2 linked regions of the Drosophila melanogaster genome follow. The protein of the gene in region 2 purifies or fractionates together with the protein of the main gene of each other region. This does not show direct contact. Each region holds a gene or a part of one and is shown on either strand. Other genes may lie near its edges. The genes, in order: Tctp and cora.

Region 1 (15,649 bases), on a different chromosome or scaffold from region 2:
TTTGTACTTATGGCCATCCATTTCAGCGAGGTCCACAATGCGGCGCCTCGTCTCATTGTGAAGCGCATCAATCCCAAGCCCATGCCCAAGCCTCGAGAAAGTGTGCGATATCAGTGCAAGCTGTGCCAAAAGCACTACGCCTCCAAGTACGCCCTGGGCTGGCATATCAAATCGCACACCGATGCGAACGCCTACAAGTGCCAGCGGTGCAGCAAGAGCTACTCGGATCCCAACAAGCTCAAGCGCCACGAGATGACGCACGAGAAGAGGCCGCTCCAGTGCGACGTCTGCTTGAAGGGATTCTATCAGCGGACGCGGCTGCGGGAGCACGAGCTCATTCACACCGGCGAACGTCCATATTGGTGGGTGTTCTCGAGCTTTTAGATCATTAGTTTCCTAATTAATATAATTGTGCTTGTTAATCATTACAGGTGCGAGGTTTGCAATGTTAACTTTCGCTACAAGTACAACATGAAAAGCCATGCGAACAGTAAAATGCATCAGGATAATGCTCGCAAATTGGGCGTAGTACAAATTGTTGCAACCGAATGAAATGCGTGCTTCTTTTTCAATTTTCACTTAGTTGGATTTATGAATTAATGGCGGTTGGATTTGATTTTCTTTTCTTTCTTCGTTCGTTTTCGATGTGACTGGAAGAGTTGATGTGCTGAGTAAAGTTGCCGGCGCGCAGGAACCAGAGATCGCACACCTCGCAGCTGAGAAGTACGGGGAAATTAGATAGAATAATGCGAAATTACTAAGAGCAACTCACTGGAAAGTGCGCTCGCCCTTCTTGATGATCTCCCACTTGGATTGCGGCGCTCGTCCCTTCTTGCAGGCCTCCCTGTAAAATGATTATAATCATTTATAATTCGTAGCTTTAACTGCTGCGTAGGACGCACCTTTCATGTCTCACGCGCGAGCTGTTCGTGCTGTACTCCAGGCCGCAGAAGGTGCAGGCGTAGGGACCCTCCGTGTGCTTCAGCTGGTGGCGCCGCAGCAGGTGGAGCGTGTAGCACTTCTGGTGGCACTGGTCGCACTCGAACGGCTTGGTGCCCGTGTGCCGCAGCAGATGGACATGGAGATTGCTGGTGTCTTTGAATTGCCGGCCGCAGTGCTCGCAGATGCAGGGCTTGGCGCTGGGTCCATTGCGGTCCACAATACGCTTTGGCTGCTTATCATCGATGACTTTTACATGGATCAGCTTTCGGCCCACGCGCATTGTGTGCTTCTTGGACTTTATTTTGGCCGTGTTCTTGCTTCTTCGCTGTGCTGGCTCGTTGGTAGTGGTCGCCACTTCAGTCTGTGCCTCTCCATAGTCCTCGGGAAGGGGTAGGATGTCCTCACCCGGTGCATTGCCATAGCTAAGAGCTTGTTCAAGCTGATTTTCGGGATACGGCGCTTGTGGGTCCTCTTCCATTTGCAACTGGATGGGTTCTATTTTGATGTCACTGGCCGACATCAGCTCGTCAATGCCCAGCGGATCCGGAGCAGCTGCCTGCTGGACGCGAAGTTGCTCCATGGCCGCTGGAGCCTCGCCGAGATTCATTCTCCTCCGCCGCCTGGCGAAGTACTTCTCGATCTTGGCACAACGCCGCCGGAACTTTTGCACCTGGCTGAGCAGCACCTGGCAGTCCGTACATATGTGATTGGGCAAATCCTGGACATTCTGCAGCTGTAAGATGGGAAACAATCGCTGGTTGGATACGGAAACTACTGAGTGGAATTGTTCACTTACCCAGCAATTTGTGATGGAACGGACGCACTGCAGCAACTTTCGGCCCGCAGGCGTGAAGATCTGAAGGCATTCATCGGCCACGACGGTCTTGCCGCAGGTGCGGCAGAACTCCTTCATTTTATGCAATTGATTTGCCAATTATTTAAATTTATTTGTTTGACATGCGTAGGAGTGTGACCGTTGCTCAGAATGACAAAATACACTTTGAATGCGCAACGGGCACCTTTATCCAAAAATGTTTCGATAGTCAAAACAATTGTTTAATTCCATGTTCACAAATGTGAGAAGTCTAATTTTCCCAAGAAATGCAGATTATTCATATTCAATATCTACGAAATCCGTTATGAATAGTGTTTGGTATTTTTATACACTCCACCACCAACTATCGATAGGCAGGCGAGCAACCCGTGCGATGGATGGTAACTCTGGCCGTTTCCGCCCTCCATCTTTCTGCATTGACTTTTCACGATGGTGAGTTCGCTGCTACTAAATTCTGCGAAAATAATAGTTTTTCACTGTGAAAGTGGCCCGCAAATGGAGGCAAAATATGAGTGAAGTGCCGCCCCAGGGCTGGGCCATGAAAACAACACCCAGCTCAAGTGGGAAAATGTGAAAATGCGGGCAAAAAACAAAAGCATGCCTTAACCTCGAAAGCAAGCAACTCCAGGTGCTGCTCAATGGTGGTCAATGGGGTTTATTTATGTCTGGGATTCAAGTGCAAGTTGTTAATACAAGCCCGTTTTTCTTTGCAACATTCCAGCCGCCTAAGAAGGACGCGAAGTCTTCGGCCAAGCAGCCGCAAAAGACACAAAAGAAGAAGGAGGGATCCGGCGGCGGCAAGGCCAAGAAGAAGAAGTGGTCCAAGGGAAAAGTCAGGGACAAGCTGAACAACCAGGTGCTGTTCGACAAGGCCACCTACGAGAAGCTGTACAAGGAAGTGCCCGCCTACAAGCTGATCACCCCATCGGTGGTCTCCGAGCGTCTGAAGATCCGCGGCTCCCTGGCCAAGCGTGCTCTCATCGAGCTGCGCGAGAAGGGTACGTTTCCTTACGCTTCCTACCTTTTCGTTAGCATAAATCCTAATGGCACTCTTCTTTGCTTTCAGGTCTGATCAAGCAGGTCGTGCAGCATCATTCCCAGGTCATCTACACACGTGCCACCAAGGGTGATGAGGCGTAAATGAATGTTTTACCTTTTGCCCATCTCGCATCGCCGTAGTCGCACTCGCCTTACAATAGAACTCTGTATCGATAGCACTACGATGCCGCTGTGTGTGTAACGTTGAATAAACTTGCTTTCTTATTGATGTAAGGGACATTTGCGTGATGTTTAATTGATATAAAGATATACCCTCTTATAGAGGGATGTATCACTGAGCGCTGGTTTCAAGATGTCGAGCCGGAGTTATACGGCTGGGAATGTAAAATATCATATAGCCCAAAAACTATTGTTCTTACAAATCGAACAGCTGACGTGCAATATATTTGCAAATCAGGATATCAAGAATTCTTATAATAGCAATTATTATTCATTGCAATGTGCGTTTAATCAAAAATACTTCTAAGAAAGTGAACATTTCATTAATGTCTTTCAAGTTTGTTATCAATGAGGAACTATTTTTAAAACAGCCGCTGAAATGTATTTTTTAGTTGAATTTAGCACTTTGAATGGTTATCATTTGAATACAAACAGTAAAATCATGATTCATTTGCTGTAATTCACATCAGCAAGAATTTGGTTATTTTCACTTATATTAAATAATATTTGTTTATAAAAAAATAACGAATTCCCAATAAGAATTAGTACTAATCTTCTTCTTGCTCTCAAGCCATTCACCCTCTCAGTTTTCACGTGACAGTGAGTACTCAATTGTAACTTCATAATTGACGACAAAATGAAGTCAAAAGAAAAGCCATTGAAGTTTATTAAAGTTTCATTCAATAAGGTATAAAAATTAGAAACTGGCAATTCTTAATACATGATTAAAGTGAAAAATAATAATAATCAAAAGACCGCAATAAATCAAACTTCCTTAGAATTTATACTTTTCAAACAAAATGCCGGAAGATCTAACTAAAAAGCGACCAGTAAAATGAATACCCAACAAACTTTCAGTGGTGCACTTACTGTGGCCATTTGCCATTCACAACGAAGCGCTGCTTTCGTTCGGACGAAATGTTTACGTGGTTACCATTATTTTGATGACAACACGGCAGATTGGTTTGGTGCTGGCAAAGACGGGAGTTCGGTTCTGGTATCTGGTACCCAGTAAAAATGAATTAAGCTGCAGCTGAATCGCAGATCGACGAGCCCGCGCCGCACAACTGCGCACACAAGACGACGACGACGACGAAGTCGCGCAGGAAGCATTTTGCTTGTGAGATAATTTGGGAATCAAAGAAAAGAGACCTGCCGCCGCCGCCGTTGCCGATAAAGATTCTCGCGAACCCGGCCAGAAGCGGAGTGGGAATCACGGAATCAGCTGGAGCGCGGCTATAGCCAACCGATAATACCACGTATGCAAACAAAGTGTGCTTTCTTAGTTAGGTGCTTAGATCTCATGTTGGTCTCGTGCTCTTTTGCAGATCCATAACCGGCAAGATGATACCGCTGTCGCACAAGGACCGGAGCAGTCTGGGCTACCGGATCCGGGAGAAGCTCAACAGCTGGAAACGACTCATCTTCTCCGACCGCAACTCCCGGAATCTGTTCCTCTTTCTGCTGCTCAACCTGAGCTTCGCCTTCGTGGAGCTCTTCTACGGCATTGTGACGAACAGTTTGGGTGCGTACTTGGCCACTAATGGCTTTTTATCTTATCCGCAGTTTATAACCTACTTGATGGTTAATCCGCAGGCCTGATCTCCGACTCATTCCACATGTTCTTCGACTGCACTGGCCTCTTGGCGGGACTGGCCGCGTCGGTTATCACCAAGTGGAAGGCCAACGACAAGTTCTCCTACGGCTATGTGCGCGCCGAGGTGCTGGCCGGCTTCGTGAATAGCCTGTTCCTGTTGTTCATAGCCTTCTTCATTCTGTCGGAGGGCGTGGAGCGACTTATCGAACCGCCGGAGGTCAAGCACGAGCGTCTGTTTGTCGTCTCCGTGCTGGGACTGCTGGTGAACCTGGTGGGCATCTATGCCTTCAATCACGGCGGACATGGACACTCGCACGGTGGACACGGACACTCCCACGGTGGTGGTCATGGGCACGGGCACTCGCACGGCCACACGGACGCCGGCAATCACAATCACCAAGCCATCACCTTGGACAATGGTAACTGCAGTTGGAGATTATATCTTATTATATTGACTAGGAATGGGACAATATTCTAATAACCCCTTTTTAAATCCGCCCATTTCTAGGCCATGGACACTCACACGATCACGACAGCCATGGCCACTCGCACGGCGACATGTCGGGCAGCAACTCGCAGATCATGCGCGGCGTCTTCCTGCACATCCTGGCGGACACTTTGGGTTCGGTGGGCGTGATCATCTCGGCGGTGCTGATGCACATGTTCGGCTGGATGATAGCGGACCCCATTTGCTCCATCTTCATAGCCTTGCTGATAGCGCTCAGTGTGCTGAGTCTGATCAAGGAGTCGATCATGATCCTGATGCAGCGACAACCCGCCGACCTGGACCGATCGCTGCCGCAGTGCTATCAGAAAGTCACCGGCCTGGCTGGCGTTTACGCTGTGCAGGAGCCGCACTTCTGGACCCTTTGCTCCGATGTCTATGTGGGCGCACTCAAGCTGGAGGTGTCCAAGAACGTCGATCCCAAGTACGTGGTGACGCACACACGGATGATCTTTGAGGCGGTGGGCGTCAAGCAGATCTACATACAGTTGGATTATGTTTGATGCCAATGGGATCGACCCACCGGTGTCCTTGTACAATGATCTGTATAGTTATCAGCGCATGTTGAATGTTTGTGGGCAGTGCGACTCAAACATTATGAAATTTTAGTATACTACGGCGCCACAATACCCCGCCCATCACTTCCGAATGTCCCCTCCAAGAGCTAAGTAAAAGAAAGTGTTTGATTTTCAGTTGTACTTTCCGAATTTTTGTTAACTTATTAACGTTTGTATTTGTTGAAATGCGTTCGGCATTCATTCCAATTCTATACATACTGAAAGCATGGCATAACTTATGCAATAGTCCATATCGAGGAGCATTAGTGTAATTGTAAGCTAAGCGAAAGATTTTGTGCAAAGGTAAATATAAATATTTAAAGATTTTTTAAAATTCAGCATGAACAAAACCAGAAAATAGCAACTAATTCTGACTGACATTTCCATGGACATTCCGCCGTGCGGTGGAAGTGCATTTGGTGAATCGTTTTTGCCACAGTTTGAAGCATCAAAATTATGAACGAAATAAAATTTAATTTGTTATTAGCATTTTTATACGTAAACCGAACTGAAAGAAGTTTTAATTCCGGTTGGATGGGTACTTATCATTCGTTTTTTGTTGGGTACAAACAAATAACCAATTAACATATTCGATTAGATTAACCTATTTCAATTATTTACAAAAGATTCCCATTGAAAATAATCTGCTATTGAACTGCCCAGTTTACTACTTCTTTACAAAAATATAATTTAATTTGAAAGACCACAAAATAAACCAGAATTGTATAGCTTGTTGTTCTCCTTATTGTTAAAAAGTTTTCTTGGAACAATACTCCATTTCAACAACGCTTCATAAGAATGGAAAGGTACATAAATAGACACATATGTATGTATATTAAAAACCATTAAATTCAACAATGTATGAGAATAGCGAAGAAAAACTTTTAGCTTTTTATCCCGAAAATGGTTCTATTTCAACTAGATTCAAATACTTGAATAAAATATTCTTTACAATTTTAGGAAAATATATTGTGCTTTTCAAAAAAATTGTTTTCGAACATCAGACAATATCGCCGTTCGCCCTAACGAGTGTCCACTGTGCGCATCTCTCACGCGACGAACGGCAACAGGTCGACACGTTTCGCTGAAATGGAAATAGCACCTGGGGCGCAGAGCCCCGCCCTTCAAGCAGATAAAGACGTACGTATTGCTTGACCTGGAATTAGATTATAGAATCCCAAATTCCAGCGAGAGCGGCGCATTTCATTAGCATGGTTGAGGTTAGGGCGAAGCCAACGTGAGAAACTGGGGCAAGTCGAACTGCAACGTGCAGAAAATCGTGTTCCACTGCGCATGACCTCCAAAATGTCCAATGACGGTAACGGTATTGGTGCGGGGCATGTGTACATCACTGTCAAAGGTCAATAACTCCGCGATTGCCCCAAAAAGCAGCAACAACACAAACTAACTGAAGTCTGTGACTCAGACGGTGGTGGCGCCCTCTCGTTCCCACTCACGCCGCCATATGGCGGCGTCTACCTACGCATAACTGCAGATTTGGAAAGAAGTACAGACATGCGGATTCACAGTTGTTTTGTATAGGTGTTCCGTTTAATTTCAGTACTGGTGTTCCCATTTTCGGTCTTCGTTGCTTTTTGATATCTTAGCGAAAATGCATACTAATTTGTAGGTGTTGCTATCAAATTATTATTTTAATTACAATAGGTGGCGCAATTGAATTGTTTAGCTCGCTGTGATTAAACAATAAACATACAATGTCGAATTTATAAGCGCTCCGGTAAAAAGAAATTAGATATAAAATCGCACTGATCGAAGACAGGCATTTTTGTCAGCGTTTTTAAACATAAATTTAAGACTTTCAAAATTGTAACTAAGCATCTGATAAATATGTATATGTGTGTAGAAGGTATGCATGAGTATAGGTTCCGTTTTGTTTGGGGGATTGGGATCCATCTAGCATTTCTCCTCCTCCAGACCGTGCTTGAAGAACATGAGCACGGGCACGCTGTCGCCGTTGATTTCGCGGTATTCCACCAGGGCCACCATGCCGTCGCAGTCCATAGATTCGCCGGTGAAGAACTGCAGCTCCTTGAAGCGGCCAAGGATGTCCTTCATGGCCTTGTTCATGTTGGTCTTGAAGATGTCGACCTGGTCGGGCGACTTCTCCTCCAGCTTGGCCAGCACCTTCTTCATGTAGTCCTTCAGGTAGAGGGTGTACGACTTCTTGTCGCCGAAGGCGAAGCACTCCGTCAGTCGGTGGTTAAGCACAACATCCACGCCAGACTCCGAGGTGATATCAGTGCCCTCGTCGGCCTCCTCGGCGGATGCGTTGGCGCCCTCCAGCTTGATATCGTCACCCTGGCGGGTGATCAGCTTTCCGTACACCTCGTAGATCACATCATCCACCAGCTTCATCTTGTAGGTGTCGGCAAACATCTCGTCGCCGGTGATGATATCCTTGTAGATCTTCATGGTGATTGGCTTGTCGGGAGTCGGAAGATGGCGTCTAAATCGCTGGCGAAAATGCAACTACAACTGCACCGGACCGGGAACACTGCGAAACGACCTGCCACGCGCTCACTCGAACAGCAAAAAGAATGAGCGAGAAAAAATGGCGAAAGAACTGCCAACTCGCTTGGGAGTGGTAACGATTGATCCGGGAGTGGCAGCGCCTACTATACACGTATCGATAATTTCAATGTTTTCTTCGATTTATTGTTAGTTAAGAGCAGGGAATATTAACAAGGCGAACAAAATTATTATAGCTATAATATTGATGTTTCTTACGTATATTTATGGCCATTCTAACTTTTAATAATTTGAGACTGTTTCAGTAAAAAAGATAAATATGTGTAATATTCTCAATTGGAATAATATAAAAGTGGGAACAGAATTAATCATATAAAGTAATAACAATGTTTTACAGTTGATATAAAATCAATACTTTCGAGACTTATTTGTTTTTTACCAACGTAGTGGCATCCCTGTTTGCGGTAATATCGCGCAGTCAGTGTACGGTCCCATCAATACAAGTTCGAGTGAAAAACAGGGAAATGTACGTAATTTCTGTGATGGCACTGCAAAAACCCTGATTTGTGACTGCTTTTTGCAGGTATGCACTCTCCAGTTCTTTGATCCGCTCTCCGGCGCTGCGCCAGGGCCTCCAGATGGCCGCTGCCAGCCGCCCGGTATCGATGAAGGTGGTTTCCGTGGCCGAAACCCAGAAGGACGAGTCGTTCTTCGAGAAGAACGAGCGCTTGGGCAGGGAGCTGTCGCCCCATCTGACCATCTACCAACCGCAGCTGACCTCCATGCTCTCGATCTGTCACCGCGGCACAGGATTGGCCCTGGGTGTGGGTGTTTGGGGTCTGGGATTGGGCGCTCTGATCTCGTCCCACGACATTAGCCACTATGTGACCATGGTGGAGGGCCTCCAGCTGAGTGGCGCCACTCTGACCGCCCTCAAGTTTATCATCGCCTATCCGGCTGGCTATCACACCGCCAATGGTATTAGGCATCTCCTCTGGGACACCGGACGGTTCCTGAAGATCAAGGAGGTTTACTCCACCGGTTACGCAATGGTCGCCACCTCTTTCGTGCTATCCGCTATCTTGGCCCTGCTCTAAGTCCAAGACCCCAGCTAAACCTATTACATTTTAGTGCGAACACTGTGTGAAAATTGTTATATACTAAATACATGTAGTGTGTATATTTATAAAGGTGTTTGTTGTGTTACGCAATCCATTTTGTTGCTTTGGGCGTGCTGCATACGTTTGTTGTGCGCTGCAATTTGCACGGTGTGCGTGTTTTTAACGATTTCGGTGATTTGTAGAGTGAATTCAGTGTGGAGGCCGGTTAAATAGACATCTTGCGGTCCATTGACAGCGAAATCAAGTATACGCCCCGAACAAGCGATTTCCGATAGCAGAATATTACTTACATGCGCCCAAAAGTAGGGAATACTTTTTATAGGCTTAAATTTACATGAAAAATTAAAACCAAATGCAAAAGGGCTCCGAAAATGTATTTATTTAAGAGTAGCTCTTTGGCTTCCCTAACTATAGAAAAGTCTTCTAAAGATCCTTTTACTTCGGAACTGAAGAATCTTTTTATTAGATGGGGGATTCAGTTCATGTACAGAATCTATATAAAATATGTATATCCTTAATTTTGATTTTTAAGAGGTCATTGTTATATGGATAGAAAATGCAGTTCAGTTAACTTTCTTCCATACGTTGTAATTTATTTATTGTGAATTTTGGATTATCATTTGTAAAAGCTGCAAACTGTAGTGCAACGGTTGTGTATGAGGCTAATATGTATCTAACAACTAATATCACAATCGATGTAATGTTATTGAAACTTCTTTTTCGGCAAATTATGAATCTGAAGCTTTCTATTGAATGGATCCATGCTTGCTGCCCTCCACTTCCGTTTCATTTTCACCATCGCTCCCACTTCCGCTGCCGCTTTCCTTTCCGTTTTCCGTCGGAGGCAGTAGCTCAAAGTCACACACCAGGGAAAAGTGATCCGATGGATATTGGAAGCTGGGTGTGCGATTCTTGCCAATTTGCTCTCCGGCCGGAAAGTCTAGACAGTTTTTGATCTGAAATTGGACATAAATATTGTTAAATAAATTGTAACCGCTTGCAACTATTTCAGAAATCCCACCTTGAGGCGATCGGGTGTGTAAAAGACGTAGTCGATGGTGTGACATTCCTCGCCCTCTTCGCGAATTTTCCAGGTGGTGTAGGGTGGCTCGCGTTTCATCGATTTCGCGACGAACTCACCGACATCCGCGTTGGGATGTAGTATCTCCTCGCGGTCTAGCTTCACGTCGGCATAGGCGCTGCCCAAGCGGAGGAGATCACATCCCAAGATCGTGGCATAGATGGGCTCCACCGGTTCGGCATTGAAATCGCCGCAGAGCAGCAGCGGCGTATCTCCGGCAAACTGCTTCACAAACCTAATGAGATCACGTCCCTGTTCGTTCCGTAATTTCGCCAAAAGGGCGCCATGGCGGGCCTTTAAGTGGGTGGTGGCCACACAGAATTCCCGACCACTGGATCGCATACGCAGCCGGGCCGCGATGGCCACCTGGTTGCTCTGCACCCGCCACACTTCCAGGATCCTCGTGTCGTATCCCTGCAGCTGCAGTTTGTCCCTCTTGTAGAAGATGGCACAGCCATCGGGTCCATTGTTCTGCTCGATGTACAGGCACGGGGAATCCGGTTTCGGGAAGAAGATGCCTGCGTAGTTCTGGCTACCCAACACGGTCTGCAGGAACTTGAAGTGGTCTACCTCCTAATTGAATATATCACATTTAAGTGTGACTGTCTTGAAAATGTTGGGTGGGCTGATGTGAACATACTTGCAGACAAATCACATCGGGCTGGTTCTGCAGAATCTCCTGGACAATCAGGTACTTGCGGTGCTCCCAGGTGAGAGCCTCCTCGGGACAGCGCACAAATCCATCGTTGTGCTGCCCGAGAGCTGGGTTTCAGATGAAGAAATCAAGTTAAATGGGATAGAGTTAAGGTATAATAATGCAAATTCTTTAAACATATATAAGCATATAAATATTTTTAGGGACATACTTTGTGATAGGATGTTCCACTGCAGCAATCGAATGTCATCACCCTCGACTGGCGCACTGCAAACTGCACAAATAGATTAGAATATAGCCCTCGGATAAGACAAGGATGCAATCCTACCCCTCGACACGGAATTCAGCTTGAGGCATCGCAGTCCGTCGGCTACATCCTCGTCCGCCAGCAGCGGTTTTAGGAAGCCGCGGGTGAGCAGCGATGGCTGCTCGATGCCACCGCCACGCAGTTGCTGGACATGCTGGAGGAGAGCCGGGGTGCTTAGACCGGAGGGCAGTACCAGGCCATCGTCCTGGGAGTCCACATTGTTGATCTTTGGGGCCGAGTTAAATGAACCCATTCTGGAATAGGATTAGGTGACTCAATTAGTTTACAGCCGTTGAACAATTAACTATATAAAAACTCGACTAAGCGAACGTGTTTAGCACTCACTATTCGATTATATTTTGCTATTTCAAAACACAAAGATTGAGTAAGTCTTTAAATGTGTTTTCTTTTAGCATTTCAATCAAAAACAAATTGATAAAAGCTTCTCGCAACAAACAAACAACTTTCAGCGAATAAACACCAAATAAACAACATCAATTAAATACATATTATTTCACATTTTCTGGTACTCACAAAGCATTGGGTTTTCTATATAGAATTTTTCTCAGTATTATGCTGAAAATGAATAGACTATGACTATGACGCTGACTCGTATAAAATTGTCCCATTTTCACTTTGCTGCAAGGAGTTATTTGAATGGAGTAAGTGTTTTGTGTGCAGGGAAGAAAAATATTAAGAATTGTTAGGTTTTTCAATCAGATTTGATCAATTTAAAGAACACAAAAAAAAAACACAAAAGTGAATAATTTCGAAAATGGGGAATTGGAACAAGGAGTTATTGATAAAGTGCTCAATTATTCAATCTGTCACAATCAACTAGCAAGCTTAAAACCATTCTCAAAAACTCTTTCTCAACTAAAGATATATTTTCTATTCTTTTCAATCATTGTTGCTAGGTAGCTCATAGCAAAAAACTATCTTTTAGTTATGGATGGAATGCATGATTTCACTTTCATTGATCATTGATTCCTTTACCAAATGAATCTGACTTCCTGAAGCTGGACTCAATCACACTAATCTGCGTAGCTCACAGCTAAAACATAGTTTTCATATTGCTGGATAGAACGTTTCTGGTTTTCGTGTGCCTAAGCTTACGGCAATTAGCACATATGCTCCGATTCTAAGAAGATTACCGGACATTAGAGCGGGGTATTAGATGGTGTAGCGGGGGTAAGGGGTGGGAGAATCTGGAACGCCCACGCGACGATAATCCCGCGAAACAAAAACAAAGGCGAAAATGTCGCTCGGTCAATAGCTTCGCAGCTGTTCGTCTGGTTTCCAACGCTCCGCGAGAGAATCGAAACCAGTTCCCGCCGGGGATTGGGATTGAATGGCGAATGGCGACTGGATTTGGGGCTTACGGGCTTCGGCATGTCACCGCAATCAATCACCCGCCGCCGGTGGATCAGTTGTCCCCCCATCCCACATCTCACATCTCACATCTCGGATCGCAGCCCATCTCACCTGGTCAGCATCACTTTTTGCAGATAGGCCTTGCGATCGTTTTTGCAGGGCGCCTTGTTGGCTCGCTTAATGGGAACGGCTGGCTCCATGTCTGCGGCAGGATCAAAGGATTTGGATGTTTTGGATTTCGAATGTTATTTTTTTTTTAACTTATGTGGGATATGTGAGGTGGTGACTTTAGCGATCTTTGGGGGAGCCGGAACGAGGTGCGCTTGCAAGCGACTTTGGCGAAACTGAATGCCAACTGAAGTGCGGGGTTTTATTAGAGAGATCATTCGCGCTGGAGGCAGCGAAAAGATCGCGAGGAGAGCACGCACAAACGGGTATTTCGCATACGAGATGTATCTGCAAGATACAGATACCGATACCGATACAGATACCCCCAGAACGAGATCAATACGGTTCGGCTCACGTGTGGAGAGCTCCCGCGCCAAAATGCTAAACAAAAGAACGATTCTATAAGTACGTCGGACCGACTGGCTGTCTGTTTCGCTGGCTAGCTGGCTGGCTTGTTAAATATTTATGGCTATCAGTTAATGAAAACAAAAGTGCTGTATGTATGTATGCCTGCATGCAAAAAAAGTGGAGAAAATAGCAGCCAGCATCCTTAGATAATCAATGGCGCTGTTGTATGCCTAAGCAGAATCCCAAATGTTCTCAAATGCAAATTGCGCAGACAAAAGATACAATTGTATCTGCACAATTTATACAGCAACGCAGTTACATGCCTAATGAGCTGTCCGCCCAAGCTATATAGTACCTATATCTGTTGTATCTGTAGCCGATTTTCAGCGTATACCGTGGAGAAGATTTCAATTTCAATTTCTATTTCGATTTCGTTACCTGGGAATCGGAACGGCCACACGTCTTGCGAACGTCTTCGATGTGACGATCAAACGCGACGTTTTCATTAGAAACTCCATTTTGAACTTTTTGTGCAAACTTAACGCTTGTCCCAACTCGAATATCACTTTCAGTTTGCTATCTTTCGGCTGCTGACTTTTGAACTGGGATTCTTGGTTTCTTGTTTAGATATTAGGATAACTTGAAATGTTTTATATTTAGTGTCAGTATGGCAATGTCAAAGAGACGCGGCCCCATCTGTGTTTCCTAGAAAGGTAGAATGATTACGAGGTTAATGTTTAGTAAATAATTAAATTTGCATTCTCTTCGCTGAACGTCACTTGCAAAATGCCTACCAATCTCGTTGCGGAATTTTGAACTTGATTTAATCAAATTAGGCACGTGCCGAAACACTTTCGTGACCCAAACGCAATTATTGCGTTCATTGATAAAATCTTTTTAGTTCATTTACACTGATATAATGGCAATTTAGTTGTCACTCATGACTTATCACTTAATGGAAAGGCATTAAGTTTTCAGCTTTGCGTTAGATAAGCCAATAATATCGATACTAAAGCCCATGGATAGCCCATGATTGGTACTAGGAACTAACTCATTAGAATTGCAATAAATAAGTTGATCACAAATATTCTGATAGTGCCGCTGCTAGACTATATATTTTTATTGAATCTGTCGTTTTTCCGCCTTTCCTGGGACACAGCTACATACATATATACTTGACTACCTATATACTCTCAGTTTTTATACTGTCAGTTTTGTCATGATCACTTTCGCGCAAATTGTGCAAGGTTAGTTTTTGTTGCTCTCGGGGATCGCTTGTTGGTGCTGTTGTTGTTGTTGTCGTTGTTGTTTTTGTCGTTATTGTTGATTGCCGCTAAGTGGCTTTGAGGCCTGGCCAATGGCTAAGAACACTTGACACGCTGCCAGCCATGAACTTGATTTATAAGCGCGACAGCCGCGCTACAGCCTATGGTTATGGTATCTGGTATATATGGCATGGCCCCTGTAAGAAACAAGTATCTCACCTCACCAGATACAAGAGCAAATCGCGAGGCGGCTCGAACTCAAACTCTCCCATTCCAGTTGCAGCGACGGTACTGCTCTGGCCGAGATTGATATCGTTACGGGGGCTGGCCACGCCCAGCTGTTCGTCCATTTCCATTTCCTTTTCGAATTCCAGTTTTCGCGCCGCCAGGCGCTGTTTCATCTGAACGGTGGAGGTCATGGCCGAGGTCTTGGCCACAGCTTCCGCGATTTCGTACTGCCTGAGGAAATCCTGACGCACACCATCCAATGTGAGACCTTGTGGACGTCTGCATTCGGGACCACACAGGCGCTGGCACATCTCATTGATGGCCGACTGGCGATCGATCAGATGGCCAGGTGCCGTTTTCAGGCAATTCGAACAGGGTATCTCCCTGTGCCGTTCACCAGCCAGTTTTCCATCATCCTCATGGTGATTGGGTGGCTTGTAATCCTCTTCGTTGGGCGAGGGTGGCTCATCCGTAACGCTAAACAATTGCGGTGGCTTGTCATCATCTTCGAGGAGCTCAGCTCCAATGTCATTCCTACTGTAATCCAAAGGATTTGACTCCAAATTCAGCAAAAGAGCTGTCACTGGCATGGCCTTGCCCAAGGCGGGCTGACGTCGATGGCCATAGTTTTCGCGTAGTCCCGTTGTTTTTTGATCCATTGTCACTTTTAACTGCTACCTTTGAGCCAGTTTTAGTCACTTATCACTGGCCACGCTGCGTATGCGTAATATGCGATGCACTTCTGGCCGTTTAGAACAGCCAACAATTAATACGCGCGTGCGTTGCCTTTCCTTATTTATATCTTCTGGCCGACTCTAGTCGAGATCGAGGCAATCAAGTGCCAACTGCCAGTTGCTCAGTTCCCTGATCGGATCGCTCTCTCTGTAGTTTCTCATTAAAAGAGCAGACAGATTGCCGCTGTTCAGGTATTCAGTCATTCAGACATAGGTTTAATAAA
Region 2 (16,588 bases):
GTGCTGTTATCGAAAAATACGATAATTCATAGAACGTAGACTTCACGTGTTTCATTTGTTTACAATTTTCCACCGCAAAATGAAGCCTTTCGAAGTGCCGCCCTGGGAGGAAGGAGCCGATATCATTGAGTTTGAGCCGGTAAATCCTTCAGGAAATGGAGTTGCCGCCAAGAAGAAACCAAAGAAGAAGAAACCCAAAAAGAAGAAGGCCGCTGTGCCAAATGAAAATCTGAATGTGAACAAGGCAGCTGAAAAATTCACTTACCGGCAGGGCAGAGGACCTCTTGCCCCGCCCCAAGACTCCTCGGATGATGACTACGAAGATGTGGAGGATGGCATCCGGGCCATGCACAAGGTGAAGTCCGGAAGAATAGAGAAACAGCGACCACCAACGCAGGCCACAAAAGGTGGCAAAAAAGAACTGAAACTGAAACCCGAACTGGCCCAGGCGGCTTTGGAGGCCATGGAGGCCACCAGCTCAACCACGCCGGCTGCAAACTCGTTGGCCAGTAAGCTGCAATCGGAACTCCTGGGCGGACGTTTCCGATACATCAACGAGCAGCTCTACTCGACGACCAGTCGCAAGGCGGAGGCACTTTTCCGCAAGGATAGCTCCGCCTTCGAGGCCTATCACGCTGGCTACCGCCAGCAGGTGGAGAAGTGGCCCATCAATCCGCTTAATCGCATCATCAAGACCATCAAGAAGATTCCCAAAACAGCCATAATTGGCGACTTTGGTTGCGGCGAGGGCAAATTGGCACAATCCGTGCCCAACAAGGTGTACTCCATGGACTTGGTCGCTGCTCGTAGCGACATCATTGCCTGCAACATCACGGATACTCCACTCCAAGCTCGAACTCTGGACGTGGCCGTATACTGCCTCTCACTAATGGGCACGGATCTGAACGAGTTCTTCCTGGAGGCCAATCGAGTGCTCAAGCTGCACGGCACTGTCTATATCGCGGAGATTCAGTCGCGATTCCAGGATGTGCGGGAGTTTGTGCGTTGCCTCAATGCATGTGGATTCGATCTTAACAAGAAGGATGTGGCTGTTAACTATTTCTACTTCTTCCAATTCAAGAAGATGCGTCATGTGCCCAAGAACACCAAGATGAAAGCTTTCTCTCTCAAACCTTGCTTATATCGCAAGCGATAGGATGTTATCCTATTCAGATTAGTAGATTTCCGACTTTGCGAACTGTTAAAGAAACCAAGACAGCGAATGCAATTATAGATAGTTACATTAATTTTATGTAGGAGAAACCGCAATAAATTTGGAATTCTTACAAATGTGTTTTGATCTCTTATTATTCGGTCGAAAATATACAAATTGATAATAAGGCGCGATAATTTAGCAACAAAAAAGGGCACAGATTAAAAATGTATGTCGAATACATAGCGCCTTGATATATGCGACAAAAATGTATAAAAGATAAAAAATCACTCGAATTTCCATTAGAGGTCATATAATTTTTAAAAAATTTAACGATTGAAATCGGACCATACATTTATTAAGAAAACATAGATTTATATACATTTTGTAGCGATATCAAACAGCGCTATTGCTATAAACATTTGAAAAGCAAACCGAAGCACTCAGATGAACCAACGGCATTTGCCAGCACTGCAACCACTCGGTGGTGGTTTCTCAGCAAAACTCAGTGGTCTCAACTGAAATCGACTCAAATCCAAATCGAGCAGCGGCAAGCGGATGGCTCTCAGTTTCAGTTTTCGGTTTCAGTACCAGTTTGCTCTTCGTGCACAGCACATCGAATATTTGTGAAGACGGTACGTTTTGTGTGATCGCGCTGCCAGAATTGTGAGAAGATTTGTTGTTTGGCCAGCAGCAAAGTAATTGCAAAACGGCGACGAGCGGATAGAAAAGAAAAGCGCGCAATTCGGCAGCAGTGTGTTTATAAATAAAATGGGAAATTAATTTATTAGCAACCACTATTCGCGCATTTTCCGCCCACGCCCACCCCGCTCTCTATTATACCCCTGAGCCCAACCCCCCTCACAGCACACACACCCCTTCAACTCCCACTCTTGCGTTCTCTATTACTCACTCAAAGAAACTCAACGTCAAATTTTCAACAGGTATTCAACGACGACGACGACGACAACAACAAATTGTCTTTTTTCGCGAACGAATAGAAAAAAGTGGCAAAGAATTTGTTTACTAGTGTGAAAGCGAGTGAGTGCAGTGCCCACGGGAGAAAAGTGAAAACAACACAAATACAGGAGTAAAAATCAGCCAACCGCCAAACTAACGGTAACTGCGTGTCCTTGCTGTGGATTAAAAAGGATTCTAGAGGCGTCTTAAAAGGGTGAGTACAATTTGGGGATTGCGACATAGGTTAATTACATTTTTATTCAAGTTTTTTTCTTTTGGGCTGTGGTCGGGAGTTTTTGGTGGCTTATGTTTTCGATACCAACACAAGCGCAGAATGACTTGGGCAGTATGACTTCATAGCACACACCACACACACACACACACACCCGAAAGCAGAGTTAATTGAGAGCAGCTTTGCGAGCGGGAGCGAAAAGAGAGCTCGACTCACTCACGCGGCATTTGTATCTGCGTATCTGTATCTGTGAGCTGTCAAGCTTTTCGAGTGTATCTTTTGGCACGATATTCTTATTCTTTCGACTTCTTGTTTTTGTCAACTCGGCCCACATTGTTGTTGTCGCCAGCTCTCTTTTGATTTTGCCTCTGTCTTTGCCTTACTCCAATTTTCCTTCTTCTGTGTTTTCCTCGTTTGCTTCGCATTTCGGGGCGCAGGGTGGGAAATTCTTATTGGGCCCGCGGTAGTCAAGGAAACGTTCCACAACACCGATCGGATACAAATGTATCTCAAAGGTAGTTTCGTTTAGCAGTGAACTTTAAAAAAGGGGGCAAATACTTTATATCTTTATAAAACCTACTCAGTATCGGTAAAACTACAACGTATGTATGTATATGTATCTCAAAGATACGCATGTGGAAAGGCATACAATCACTTTTGAATTCTACGCAAATTGAAAAGGTTATTCATAATGATGATTATGAATAGAAAACTTCTTAAGTGTAAATATCAATTGAGTAGAATTTATACTTTGAATTTATATTTTAAAGAAGGCCAACTACCAACCGAAAAATCAAAATTCCTAGAACTGCGCACTTTATGAAACCGATTCCTTTCATTTCCTTCTCTCGCTTAAATATAATTTTGGAATTTCGTCGCATTCATATGGCATATATAATAGTTTCATATGGCGGCTAAATTCCCCAAGCATCAAGACGTCACTGTTCCCAAAATAGAATCCATTGGGTTTGCGAGCAGGTTTCCACATTTCTTATCACAACATTGAGCGCTTTTTGCATTGGCATTTTTCATATGTTTGATATCGGCTGGGGTAAACAACGTCGGTCTTTATCCCAGCCACTAGGAAACATGGCTAAGATAAGATAAGGCCACCACAACAAAGGCCAGTTATGAATGGCAGGTGACTGGTGGCGATATTTTAGGTGTCCCCTCATCCCCCATCCACTGAGTCACGGCACGATTTTCACCATCCCCGGAAAACCTGGGGCGTTGACTTGGCAACCAAAAAACCGTTCTTCGAAAACCGCTGTTTACGTGAAGTCTTTTTTCTTCCACCTTTTCCGGGAGGTGTGGGCTTTGACCCAAATAGTAAGAAACATTAACATGTAGACTTCGTCTTCTTGGCCAGGCCATGCAAAGTGGGAATGGAAACGAACTGGCTAACATGAGGTTGAGCTTGCATTAGAAAAGAAAGAAATAAAAAAAACCGGTTGTTGCTGGCCAAGAAGTTGGCTGCACAGCAGACAAACAGATAAAGCAGCCGAGCAAAGCAAACGAGGAGTGCCAGCCAACTGAATGCCAATAACTGTACAACCAGCGAGTGGAAAACTATACTACAAAAATCTGGAGAGTGAGAGAGTTTCGGAGGGCTAACGACTTGGCAGCACGCGAATGAACATGGCTAAAAAAAAAACAAAATGAGTCGGAATCAGAGCCCCCTCGAAAACCTGAATTCGAACACGACTCCGAATTCGAGCGTTACCAACTAGGTGTGTCTTCCAGCGTTAGAAGCTCCCAGAGCGCGTCTCTCCGTATTCTCTCGGATTCTCTCGTCGGAAAACGGAGACTAAGCCCCAACCAGCGATTTTCCAGCGTGGCCAGATCGTTGTTAAGATTGGGGATCTCACCTACTATGTGTAGCACTTAATATCTTCATCTTTATGAATCCTCTTTAGAATCGCTAGCTATTCTTAGTTCACCGGAAGATTTCCACCCTCCTTCAGCGAGGTGAAAAACCAATCTAATCTTTCAACAAACTTAATCGGATGGAAGGCAGCTTTTCCAGCCCCCTTTTTAGCCAATCAGTTTCCCTCTTGCGCTCCTCCTAAATGCCCATTCGATTTTCCGTTTTCTATTTTTATTCCTTGTCGCATCGATTTTTACTTGTGCGGATGGGGCGTCTATAGGTCTATGATTAATGTGCAAAGCGCTGAAGTGGACAAAATTCTCCTCGAGGGCGGTTCGTTTGTTTACTTTCTCCGCCCTTCGCGACACTTTTTCCCTCACCTTCTGGGCAGAAATCAAAACGCGATGTGCATGTGGGTGCGGCATACCAACACAGTGAAAAATATTAACCTAAAACCACTTATTCTGTTCTACTAAATAAAATAGTTATGTTCCTTAAACCAAAAAATTGTTTCAACCCTTTTCTATATTATATATATTATTTTAAAAAGACTTGCATACGGATACAACATCTAAAATGATTTTGGTTCAGCTTATATTTTATGGTGTTGAAATAGCAGCAACTGTGGATGCATTTCAGAGTTCGTTGGCCAGGCGAAGTCAAATGCTTTAAATAGCCATTGACAGTGGAGAACTGATGGTGCCGGGTGGTGGAGCGATGGTGGTGCAGATGGCTATGTGTGGGTGTGATCCAGTGCGGTTATGTCGCCTTGTCATCCGAACGTCGATCATAGCGGTAATTAGTCAAGCGACACACTGCTCCACAGAGCCGTCACTTGAGCTGTCGAAAAGTGGCATCTGGTGACCAGAAACCAGTTCCCCTCAAGTGGCTGATCCACTTCTGAGTTACTAGCTAGTGGTCATCTCTGTCTCAGGGCTGCCAGTGCGATGGGAAATGGGAACGGATCTGGCTTATCGACTGACGGGTTCCATAGAGTCGCCATCCTCGACTGCCAGGCGGTTCCACTCCGTCGATAAGTCTATGGATTCGCAAGAGCGAAACACACCCTCCTCTAATCGTTCTGTATTGATTGACCCACTTTCCCACTTTAGCACACAGTCCAGAATGCGCGAATGTTTACGTATTTCCCACTCCATATTTCCTCGAAAAATATACAAAATAACTTGGAAGACCTGACGCACCAGGCATGAAATCCATTGTTCATTCGAGTGAATGATTGGTTCAAAGGGGTAAAGTGATAAAGAGAATGAAAGTATTCTTAAAAGCTTAAATTGATATAATAATATAACTCTAATTAGCTAAAATGACACTCAGATGTCTGTCAAATTAATGTACATATTTCAATTTATGCACCACAACGGAAAATGTAACAGCTTCCCTTGCGGAAATGCGGCCATGTTTATAAACGGATGTGAAGTCAGTATATAATACATTTTAAATGCGATTTATTGGCAACGCTTCGTTGAGCTCAGAAAATGGCAAGTTTGAAAAGTTTTGTGCACTTCACAGCCCCGGGGGAAATTTTAATGTTAATGGGCATAAAAGCGAAAGTTTAGTCACAATGACTAGAGGGAATGTACTATATATGTATTATGTACATACAAGGGAGAAATTCAATGTGTGGGGGGCACGCCGTTCCCGGGGAAGTGACGCCACCGCCCACCAGGTGACCCATGTTGATGTCAGAGTAATAACTCGATGACACATGTATGAGCCATCCCCGCGGATATGAAAAACCTGGCGCAGACCCGTCGCCAATTGAATTTGATTTAAGTTGTATTAAATGAAACTTAATTAAAGGGGAGCCGGCTGCACCCAAAGTACGAGTGCCCATGTTCTCATTCCGAATCTCAATTGAAACGACGCGATTGCCATCTTTTGTGCTTCTGCCTTCTGTCCGCCACAAGAACTTCGTTACTTTCACAATAATACCAGATATATATATACATATATATGTATATATTCTACTCACTTGGTTAGGCTGCTTCTTCTCTGCTCAATTTGGACGTATTTATTCTCGCCTGGCCAGCAATATTGTAACCTAAAGATTAGACGCGCGCCACTTGATGAATTTCACCTCGACCTCCTTCAATTGAGGCGAATGCGCCAAGTGCTGAAAATGTTTTTGGGTGTCGGCATCTTCTGCAAATATATTTGTATAAACTCTAGAAATAGCTCTTGATATTATGCCTTAGCTGGTGCTGATCGCTTAGCTGATGATGTCATCGAAAATAAATCATGTACGAATGCCCCCGCATTGTAAAATCGCTATGCGCTATCGACAATTCGAGCGATTTACTTTGTTTTGGTTTGCCAGCCAAACGAATTTGTAAGTCGGCACGGCAAGATAATGCCGCTGATTCACCGCCGATCTTAGTCAAGTATTCCCATACCCATTCCCACTACTCATGGGGCCCTGCATTTGGCCAAGTGAAAATAACGAGGTGGTTGCAACCGCCCGTCGATGATGTCAACATTGCGTATGCGCAACCTTCAACTATGAGAACAAGCACGCTGCCAAAAGTAATGCTATATGGAGTCCATATACACATGGTCTGCGCGCTACAAAGACGCGAGAATAAATAAAATAATATAAATTAGATGTTTGTCTGCTTTTTTTTTTTTTGGTTTTCGGGTTCTGGTTCTCAGCATACATATTTCATGTGTGTGTTTTTGTTTAATTTTGAACGCACGATGACGCCACCAGAGTTAATTCGCTTTGGGGGTCGTGTCCGAAACTGAAACAGTATTATAGCGCCATAGAAGACCTCTATCACGAAGTCTGTGGCAAACTGGTTCAGCTAGTTTCCTCTGCGGGATCGATGGACACATCTCTTGGCTCATGACTCCCAGCCAATTAAACACTCCGATTGTAAATTGAACTCACTGTGCAATCGGTCAGCGCATCTGGGCTCAATTGACTCTCGATCCTCGCACGTTAACCATACCCATAACTATGGCTACACCCAAGTACATTCCCAATCAGCGTTGATTGAAGGCTCTTTTCTGGGTGGGGCAGTGTGTCCACATCCGTGGCAAAATGCCGATATCGTCTCTTTTCAGAAGAAAACAACATTATTTTGCGCAATTTGCAGTCCCGCTAAATTCCGACCGCAAACGGAATCAAATGGAAACGGAAGGGGATAAAAGCGAGAACATGACGCTGCCTCGACTTGCCGGCTTATATAACCCACACCGATATGGAGCATACATATACATATTTATATATATGTATATATGGAAGACTTATGTCACTGCTGAACTTGAATCCAGATCTGGAACGTGAGCTGTCGCCGATCACTTGACTTTTCGGCTTACTCAAAGGACGTTCCCAACTTTTATTCCCATGTACTTTTGTATATTTAATGACTTTAATTACTGGGGCATTATCTGTATTCACTCTGCTTAATAATAGATCTGCGAAATCTGACTGTTGTGCGGTTTATGGTCAACTCATTGTAATGGTCTCAGACCTGAAAGTTTTTTTTACTATCTGCTTTCGCTAGTAAAATGGTAATTCAATTTGCAGTTCAGCTTTTAATGGCGAAATTTCTCTTACAGCTCGCTGGAAATCATTGCCGGAGAAATTCTAGAGCTCTTTGGAAGTGAGTACGCAATTGCAACTGGTGACATCATAGTCATCAGCGAGTGGAGAAGGAGGAGTTGTACACATCCTGGCTGAGGGTCCTGTGCTTAAATGTGTGTGTGCTGAGTTTATTTGCGCAGTGGCGCCAGGCAAATTGAGAAAGTTTATGTCGTGTTTTATGTCCAGACTGCAGACTTCTAATGAGCGAAAGGCGCCCACACACACACACACACACACACTGGGACACATGACCCCGCGGAGTGGACACTTCCGGCCATTTAACTGGGATCCAGTGCAATTTACTAAAGTCTTTACATTCTTGCAGCCAACTCCAAGCTGTCGCTGGCGTAGCCAAGTCCCCCAATCCAAGATGCCGGCGGAAATTAAACCATCCGCGCCCGCTGAGCCGGAAACGCCGACCAAGAGCAAACCCAAGTCCAGCTCATCCTCGCACGGAAAGCCTGCCCTAGCACGAGTCACCCTGCTGGATGGCTCCCTTCTGGACGTGTCCATTGATGTGAGTAAGCAGGGATGATGATGTGTTAAACAAGTCAAACCCTTTAAGGTTATGATTAAAAACATTTACAATGATGAATTGTTCAATTTGATTTCCACAGCGCAAAGCCATTGGCCGTGATGTGATCAACTCAATCTGCGCCGGTCTGAACCTCATCGAAAAGGACTACTTTGGTCTGACCTATGAGACGCCCACAGATCCGCGCACTTGGCTGGATCTGGAGAAGCCGGTATCCAAGTTCTTCCGCACGGACACTTGGCCTCTCACCTTCGCCGTCAAGTTCTATCCGCCGGAGCCATCGCAGCTGAAGGAGGACATCACGCGCTACCATTTGTGCCTGCAGGTGCGCAATGACATCCTGGAGGGTCGACTGCCCTGCACATTCGTCACCCACGCTCTGCTCGGATCCTACTTGGTGCAGTCGGAGATGGGCGACTACGATGCAGAGGAAATGCCCACCAGGGCCTACCTGAAGGACTTCAAGATCGCTCCAAATCAGACGGCTGAGTTGGAGGATAAGGTCATGGATCTTCACAAGACCCACAAGTAAGTTTTGGACTATTATATCAAGGATTTATACTCACTTTAATATTTTGTATTCTAGGGGACAATCGCCCGCCGAGGCTGAGCTACACTACCTGGAGAATGCCAAGAAGCTGGCCATGTACGGCGTGGACTTGCATCCCGCTAAGGATTCTGAGGGCGTGGACATCATGCTGGGCGTTTGTGCCTCCGGTTTGCTCGTCTACCGCGATAAGTGAGCAGCTCTTACTATATTTAAATTAAACAATTGCTAATATATTTAAACCACTATCCAACTAGATTGCGCATCAACCGCTTTGCCTGGCCCAAGATTCTGAAGATCTCCTACAAGCGCCACCATTTCTACATCAAGATCCGACCGGGTGAATTCGAGCAGTACGAATCCACCATTGGCTTTAAGCTGGCCAACCATCGTGCCGCCAAGAAACTGTGGAAATCCTGCGTGGAGCACCACACCTTCTTCCGCCTGATGACCCCCGAACCGGTCAGCAAGTCCAAGATGTTCCCAGTCTTCGGGTCCACCTATCGCTACAAGGGTCGCACTCAGGCCGAGAGCACGAACACACCCGTGGATCGTACTCCTCCGAAGTTCAATAGGACTCTGTCCGGAGCTCGTCTCACTTCCAGGAGCATGGATGGTAATTACACCTAGTCTTGAGTAGAGCTTGCTTATATATAACCTGATAGTTTTGAATCTATGTGGTTTGAATTGTTTCTAATTACCTGATCCTTTCAGCTCTGGCCTTGGCCGAAAAGGAAAAGGTGGCTAGGAAGAGCAGCACCCTGGATCATCGGGGAGATCGCAATGCCGATGGCGATGCCCACAGCCGCAGTCCCATCAAGAACAAGAAGGAGAAGGTAACCCATCCAGTTTTTAACCAACTAATGCCTGACGAAACATAGCTATTGAGATGAACATGTTTAACGATGATTTCGGAGTTAACCAGAGTTTTTTGTACTTTCTTCTCGGTTTGTTACTAACTCACAACCACTCACAAACCAAACAACCACACACACATCCACTCTGTGATTCTGAATATGAAATGATGTGCTCGTAATGTTAACCCTTCGTCCCCTAAAAAAAAAAAAAAACACACCTTAACCCCCCATTACACTAACCAGTTGATGCGACAGTCGAGCACCGGCACGGCTTCGGCCTCCTCGCAAAGTTCCCTCGAGGGTGACTACGAGACCAACCTAGAGATTGAGGCCATCGAGGCTGAGCCCCCCGTTCAGGTTAACACTTTACTACCTACAACTCAAAAAAAAATCGAAAAAAAAAAAAACCAAAAAAAAAGTATCCTCCGAATCGAATCTTCTACAATGTATCCTTCCTAACTTTTTTATCGGCTTTGAACTCTGCTTTTCGAATGTTGTGAGCTTACGTATGAAACGATTTGATTTGAAGTCTCCCTCAGTTATTCGTTTATTTGTTCAGCTTAGGGCTACTTTACCCCAGTAATTTATGAATGTTCTGAACCTATTAATTTATATTTTTTGTTTTCATAACCGACTATCCTCTAACCAATGTGATAGAACCCGAACGAGCTGTACCTTGATCTGATGGTAATTTTTGTAAAAAAAAAGAAATCAGTGCCGTCAATTGTCTGTTAAATGTGCATTACATCATAACTATCTGACTTTTTTTACGTGTTTTATTTAACTTTGATTTGATTATTTTGTGACGTCTGTAAGAGTCCTTTCTCGAGCTGTAAATACCATTTAGGGCCACACCAGTACAGTCCACACAAAACATGCAGTTGTATTAAAAAAGTTTCATCTGTAATGCCTAATTAACGAAATATTATAATTTTGTTGCTTGTATTGTAAATATATATTGTACATCTCAGCCATTTTGTAGCATGTCGCCTTTTCGCCCCAAATATCTGTTTCCTCTGAATTATACGCTAAAAACTATAACTAACTAATGATCGATGTTTTCTCAGGATGCTGATAAGGAGGCTAAGTTGCGTGAGAAGAAACAAAAGGAGAAGGAGGAGAAGGAGCGAAAGGAGCGGGAGAAGCGGGAGTTGGAGGAGAAGAAGAAGGCCGAAAAGGCTGCCAAGGCAGCACTTGCCGCTGGTGCCGCTGCAGGAGCGGCTGTTAATGGTAAGTATCCCCAGGATAAAGTATCTAAAGAAGCAATCTTACTAACCTCCCTGAAAATATTATCTAGGCAATGACGAGCTGAATGATTCCAACAAGTCTGACAAGTCCTCAGGCAGACGTGTAAGTATCCTATCTGACTATCCCCAACTTAAGCTAGATCATAGGAACACACAAGACTAGGTGTACTGAGCTAAGCGATATCCCCGCACCGAATGCGCCCGCCCTCGTGTAAATACTCTTAACCCCCCCGACCCAAAACCCACCCAAATCCACATACCAAATCACTTAAGTTTCACCCGTAAGTTATGATAGTTTGTAGTGAAACCCGAAAATTGATCTTAAGTTGAACTCATTGGTTGTGTAATAATTATTATGGTTTCCTTTTGTTAATTTTTACCTCCCATTTCTTTTCGTTTTATGTTTGACCTTTTCATTTGATCCTCGAAAAAAAAACGATCCAACGACGATCCACAGGGCGTTGGCATATTCTCCTCGGGTCGCAAGAGCAAGAGCGGTTCCCCATCCAAGGATGGCAAGGATAAGTCCGGAAAGGATAAGGACAAGGAGGTGGGTCGACTTGGTCTGGTCGTTACGTCTGGTCTGGGCGATAATCAGCAGGATCAAAACCTGGACGAGGCGGCTAGGAATGCGGCTAAGAACCGAGGATCCACCACTCCCGGTGTCACTAGGCAGTATGAGTATGCCGTGGATAATGATGGCAATACCAGTCCCACAAGGAAATCATACACCCCTGGTGGCTTCCGTTACGATCAGGATCCTAACTCTAGGAAATCCGGTGCCGATGGCCAGGAGCAGCTGTCTCCTACCTCGCAGCAAAAAAAGATTGGTTTGGCCTTTAACTATGCTCCTGGTAACGAGAACGCCTTGAAGGAAACGGCTGAGAAGCTGAAGGCAGGACAGCTGTCTCCACGCACCCAAGATAAGCTGAACCGCGGTCAATTGTCGCCCAAGTCGCGGGCTAAGCTACTCCAGGATCCACTCCTCTCGCCCACCACTCGTGCTAAGCTCCAGGGCAGCGCTGTGGATGCGGCTGCTGTTCCTCTGAGCGATTCCCAGAAGCGATCCTACTCGCCCACCAAGGGACCCCAAGGCTACTCCTCTGGAGCTCCAGGAAGCTACAAGCCCATCTCAGATCCCACGGCTGATTTCCTGGAATCACAGCGCTACAACAAAGAGCCCGGTTACGTTGGTCCCTCCAAAGCTGATGTTGCTGCTGGTCTTGCAGGTGCTGCTGGCTCTAAGAAGCCTGGTTCTCCCACCAAGACAGGAAAGGGAGCTCCAGGAGCTGCTGCTGCGGCAGCAGCTGGAGCCGCAGGAGCTGCAGCAGCAGCGGCCAAGCCGAAAAAGAGGCGAGTCAAGATCATGGTCATCACCTCCAAATTCGATCCTTCCACCAAACGCATTGATGCGGAGAACGGAAGTATTGAGCACTCCACCGGCATTCTAGACCCCGCCACCGGACTCATTGACACCAAATATGGCGTGATTGATCCCAAGAAGGGAACATTGGAGGCTCTGAATACCAAGACCGGAAAGAAGGAAGTGTTCCAGGGCGATGTTGATGGCAAGACCGGCAATCTTCATTTGGTATCCGGTGTGGCGGATCCAAAGACCGGACGCCTTGACGACACCCTTGGTCAGATCGTTTGCATCACACCCCAGGATAATCCTGTGGTGGAGCTAACAGTGATCACCAGTCGCATTGATCCTGCAACCGGAAAGATTGACACAGTTAACGGAGATGTTGAGCGTTCCTTGGGCGTCCTGAACTTGGATACCGGCCTGCTGGATACCAAGTATGGAGAGATTAACACACGCACCGGCGAACTTAAGGCCATTGATCCCAAGTCTGGCAAGATTGTAGTCAGCAAGAACGTGAAAGTGGATCCGGGTACTGGCCAGATCACTATCCTGGGCATTGTGGATCCCAAAACGAACAAGATCGATCCGAACCAAGGTCGCCTCATTGAGGTGGGCCAACAGATTGACCCAATTGTGGAGGTCACTTCCTTGGCAGGCAAGTTCGATTCCAAGAGGAACATCATCGATCCCAAGACGGCGCAGGTGGAGACCTCTGGAGGTCAGTTCGATCCGAAGGCCGGCAAGATTGATACCAAATATGGACAGATTGATCTGGTTAAGCATACGATCACGTTCAATGACCCGAAATCAGGTAAGACGGTTACTAGGGACATTAAGATTGAACCAACCACCGGACAGATTGTGCTGAAGAACCAGGTCAATCCGAAGAACAACAAGCCCGACAAGGATTATGCCAGGATTATCTCTTTGAGGATCGTGCAACAGCGCGTGGATCCGGCCACTAAGGCGCCCATCACTGAAGTAAGTGCCTCCAAGGACAAGGACATCGTGGTGGATCCCAAGTCCAACCAGATTTGGGTGCCCACTGGAGCCACCGATCCTGCCACCAAGGAGCAGCAGTACATCTCCAGCAGCGTGGACCCCAAGACGGGATACGTCATCACCATCTATGGCTACCTGGACCCCAAGACCAACGAGATCAAGAAACAGACCAAGCTCGACCCCAACACAATCAAAATCGAACCCACGTCCGGAAAGATATACACTGCCACCGGGGAGGTGGATCAGGCCACCGGGGAGCCGTTGTATGCGGCCACCCAGGTGGATCCCGAATCCGGCGAGGTCTACACCAAGCTGGCCCGCGTCGATCCCAAGACGGGCAAGATCGTGATCGTGCGCATCCTGCTTATCTCGAAGACCGACGAACGTGGTCGACCGGAGGAGATCGATCCCTCCACATGCGAAATCGATCCCGTCTCCGGCCGCGTTCTTAAGTTCTTCAATAAGACCGTTTATGTTTACAATATGATTGATCCTGTGACCGGTGAAATTGTTCAGGTGGACCCCAATGACCCGCGTTTCGCTGGCGCCCGCACCACGGTCACCCACACGATGACGCTGACAGGAGAGATTGATCCCGTGACCGGCAGGATTAAGAGCGAGTATGGCGACATTGATCCGAACACGGGAGATATTGATCCCGCCACGGCTGTCACGGATCCCGTGACCGGAAAACTGATCCTGAACTATGCCCAGATCGATCCCTCCCACTTCGGCAAACAGGCGCAGGTGCAAACCACCACGGAAACGGTACCCATCACCCGCCAGCAGTTCTTCGACGGAGTCAAGCACATAAGCAAGGGTGCTCTGCGGCGGGATTCCGAGGGCAGCTCCGATGACGACATGACCGCACAGTATGGCGCCGACCAGGTCAATGAGATCTTGATCGGCAGTCCGGCGGGACAGGCGGGTGGCAAGCTGGGCAAGCCAGTGAGCACGCCCACGGTGGTGAAGACCACCACCAAACAGGTGCTGACCAAGAACATCGATGGCGTGACCCACAATGTGGAAGAGGAGGTGCGCAATCTGGGCACCGGCGAGGTCACCTACTCTACGCAGGAACACAAGGTTAGCGAGGGACTGCGTCCCTTATGGATAAACTGGAATTCACTTCTTAAGGGCTTTGATCGAATTCGATTTTAATTAATGGGGCATAAAAGATATTGGTATTCAATTGAGGTTTTTCCAATCATCGCAAACAATATAATATTTAGAAAATCTTAATTAAATCGCAATCGAATTGGATCAAAACCTAGGGCTCTGAAAACCGGAAACGTCTATCTTTCTGTCTCTTTGCGCTTCGCTTTCCAAAGTTATATTAATCTTAATCTCTGCCTTTGCCTAACTTCCGCCTGTATTTGATGTTGTTGCTTAAATTGTTGTATTATTGCTGTTGTATTTTTATGCCGTACGCACTAACCCACTGAACCACCCACTTGCCACTCAATCCACCTAGGCTGATGCTACACCCACCGACCTGAGTGGCGCCTATGTCACGGCCACCGCAGTCACCACCCGCACCGCCACCACGCACGAGGATCTGGGCAAGAACGCCAAGACGGAGCAGCTGGAGGAGAAGACGGTGGCCACCACCCGCACCCACGATCCCAACAAGCAGCAGCAGCGCGTCGTTACCCAGGAGGTGAAGACGACGGCGACGGTCACCAGTGGGGATCAGGTAAGATCGCATGGCTGCATCCCAATTGCATGAGTTGATTGTTGTCATTATGATTTCGATATGTTATGTTATATTATGTGTTGTGTAGTATCAGAGGAGGGATAGCGTTTCCTCGACCAGTTCCGGCGATTCGGGCACGCCCATCGACGGACCCTACGATGGTGCCAGTGTGGTGCGCACAGATAACCAGGTGGGTCATGCATGGCTACTTTCCAATAAGCAATCGATAATTAGGCCCTCTAAAATTAGTTGCGCTTCCAAAAAAAAAAAGTTACATTCAAAGCTTAATAATCTCGAATCTTGCACAGAAATCTCCGCTGTTTACGACCTCCGCCACCACTGGACCCCATGTGGAAAGCACCCGAGTGGTTCTCGGTGAGGACACACCCGGATTCTCCGGACATGGCGAAATCATCTCCACCCAAACCGTGAGCAGCAAAACCCGCACTGTGGAAACCATTACCGTAAGTAACCGGAACTAATCCAACTGATCCCGTTCGATTAGGTTGCGTAAGTAGCCAGAGGTAGGCTTTCTATCTATCTATCCAAAAGATATTTCCTGTGAACGTATGCACCACACTGTATATTCCATGCATAGTCCTTGTTCGAATGGGTTCAGGTTGTACCACATTTATAAAATAACATTAATTAATACTCTACTCTAAATGAACAGTACAAAACCGAACGCGATGGCATTGTGGAGACCCGAGTGGAACAGAAGATAACCATTCAGTCCGATGGAGATCCGATCGATCATGACAAAGCCTTGGCCGAGGCAATACAAGTGAGTATCTAATGGATTAACTTCAACGTTAGTAGATACATTAACTGATACCAATTGTTTTTTACGCGATTACAGGAAGCGACGGCCATGAATCCGGACATGACAGTCGAGAAGATTGAAATTCAGCAGCAAACGCAGTAGATTTTATAATTATTTTTAAACCATTCGGATGATTTTCTAAGTAAACCCGCACACACACTCACACACATGAACACCAGCCCACGCATACGCAGCACTTGCAGTACACCTTTTATACAACCTATATCTAAATATAATTTAAACAAATATATATATATATACACACGAGTGTATATTTGAGCTCGAGCTGATGACCCACATGACATAACACTAAGAAACATAAAAAGATAAATTCCCAATTATCCGTTACCGCAACCGTCTACGAGAAAATGCATCTACATGTTTATTATTTTTATTACAACTGTTGTTTATAATTACTTTTTATTACGTATATTATATATTGAATGTGCAAGGCAACGTTGAAATGAAAACTCTATATATTGTAAACCACGATTGCATTCAAATACAAGAATAAAACCTAAATGTACACACACAAAAAAACACCGATTAAGTGCTTTTCTGGAAGGCAAACTGGCGGCTCCCTGGGCATTCGCACTTGCTGAAATTGCCATTTGTGCTTTTCAATAAGCCACGGACCGCTGAATATTTGATGGACCGTGCTACCTCGCTCGATGGCGATATAAATCAGCAATCCAC

What was found.
Region 1: the proteins of cora (region 2) and Tctp purify together in Drosophila melanogaster (affinity purification with western blotting; one study listed by BioGRID). This does not show direct contact.

Annotation. Positions count from the first base shown.
Region 1 is NT_033777.3:11,202,819-11,218,467, reverse strand, and holds Tctp (translationally controlled tumor protein), read right to left. Parts: upstream 8,222-15,649; 5' UTR 8,088-8,221; coding exon 7,569-8,087; 3' UTR 6,570-7,568; downstream 1-6,569. Other genes in the region: CG6689 (uncharacterized protein), read left to right, coding at 27-362, 432-552; CG4820 (uncharacterized protein), read right to left, coding at 590-716, 773-844, 903-1,675, 1,739-1,855; RpS25 (ribosomal protein S25), read left to right, coding at 2,207-2,209, 2,499-2,775, 2,844-2,917; ZnT86D (zinc transporter 86D), read left to right, coding at 4,340-4,520, 4,592-5,011, 5,101-5,600; SdhC (succinate dehydrogenase, subunit C), read left to right, coding at 8,669-8,670, 8,728-9,241; cu (curled), read right to left, coding at 10,012-10,221, 10,287-10,919, 10,987-11,108, 11,213-11,275, 11,330-11,562, 14,683-15,350. UniProt on the Drosophila melanogaster protein: Involved in calcium binding and microtubule stabilization.
Region 2 is NT_033778.4:19,227,327-19,243,914, forward strand, and holds cora (coracle), read left to right. Parts: upstream 1-1,736; 5' UTR 1,737-1,788; intron 1,789-2,097; 5' UTR 2,098-2,327; intron 2,328-7,794; 5' UTR 7,795-7,838; intron 7,839-8,144; 5' UTR 8,145-8,189; coding exon 8,190-8,336; intron 8,337-8,436; coding exon 8,437-8,882; intron 8,883-8,940; coding exon 8,941-9,093; intron 9,094-9,158; coding exon 9,159-9,517; intron 9,518-9,615; coding exon 9,616-9,737; intron 9,738-10,001; coding exon of another isoform or gene 10,002-10,115; intron 10,116-10,415; coding exon of another isoform or gene 10,416-10,445; intron 10,446-10,825; coding exon 10,826-10,988; intron 10,989-11,055; coding exon 11,056-11,108; intron 11,109-11,462; coding exon 11,463-14,459; intron 14,460-14,847; coding exon 14,848-15,069; intron 15,070-15,157; coding exon 15,158-15,259; intron 15,260-15,377; coding exon 15,378-15,533; intron 15,534-15,742; coding exon 15,743-15,853; intron 15,854-15,928; coding exon 15,929-15,994; 3' UTR 15,995-16,425; downstream 16,426-16,588. Other genes in the region: CG7137 (uncharacterized protein), read left to right, coding at 80-1,156. UniProt on the Drosophila melanogaster protein: An integral component of the septate junction. May play a role in cell-cell interactions that are necessary for proper development. Vital for embryonic development.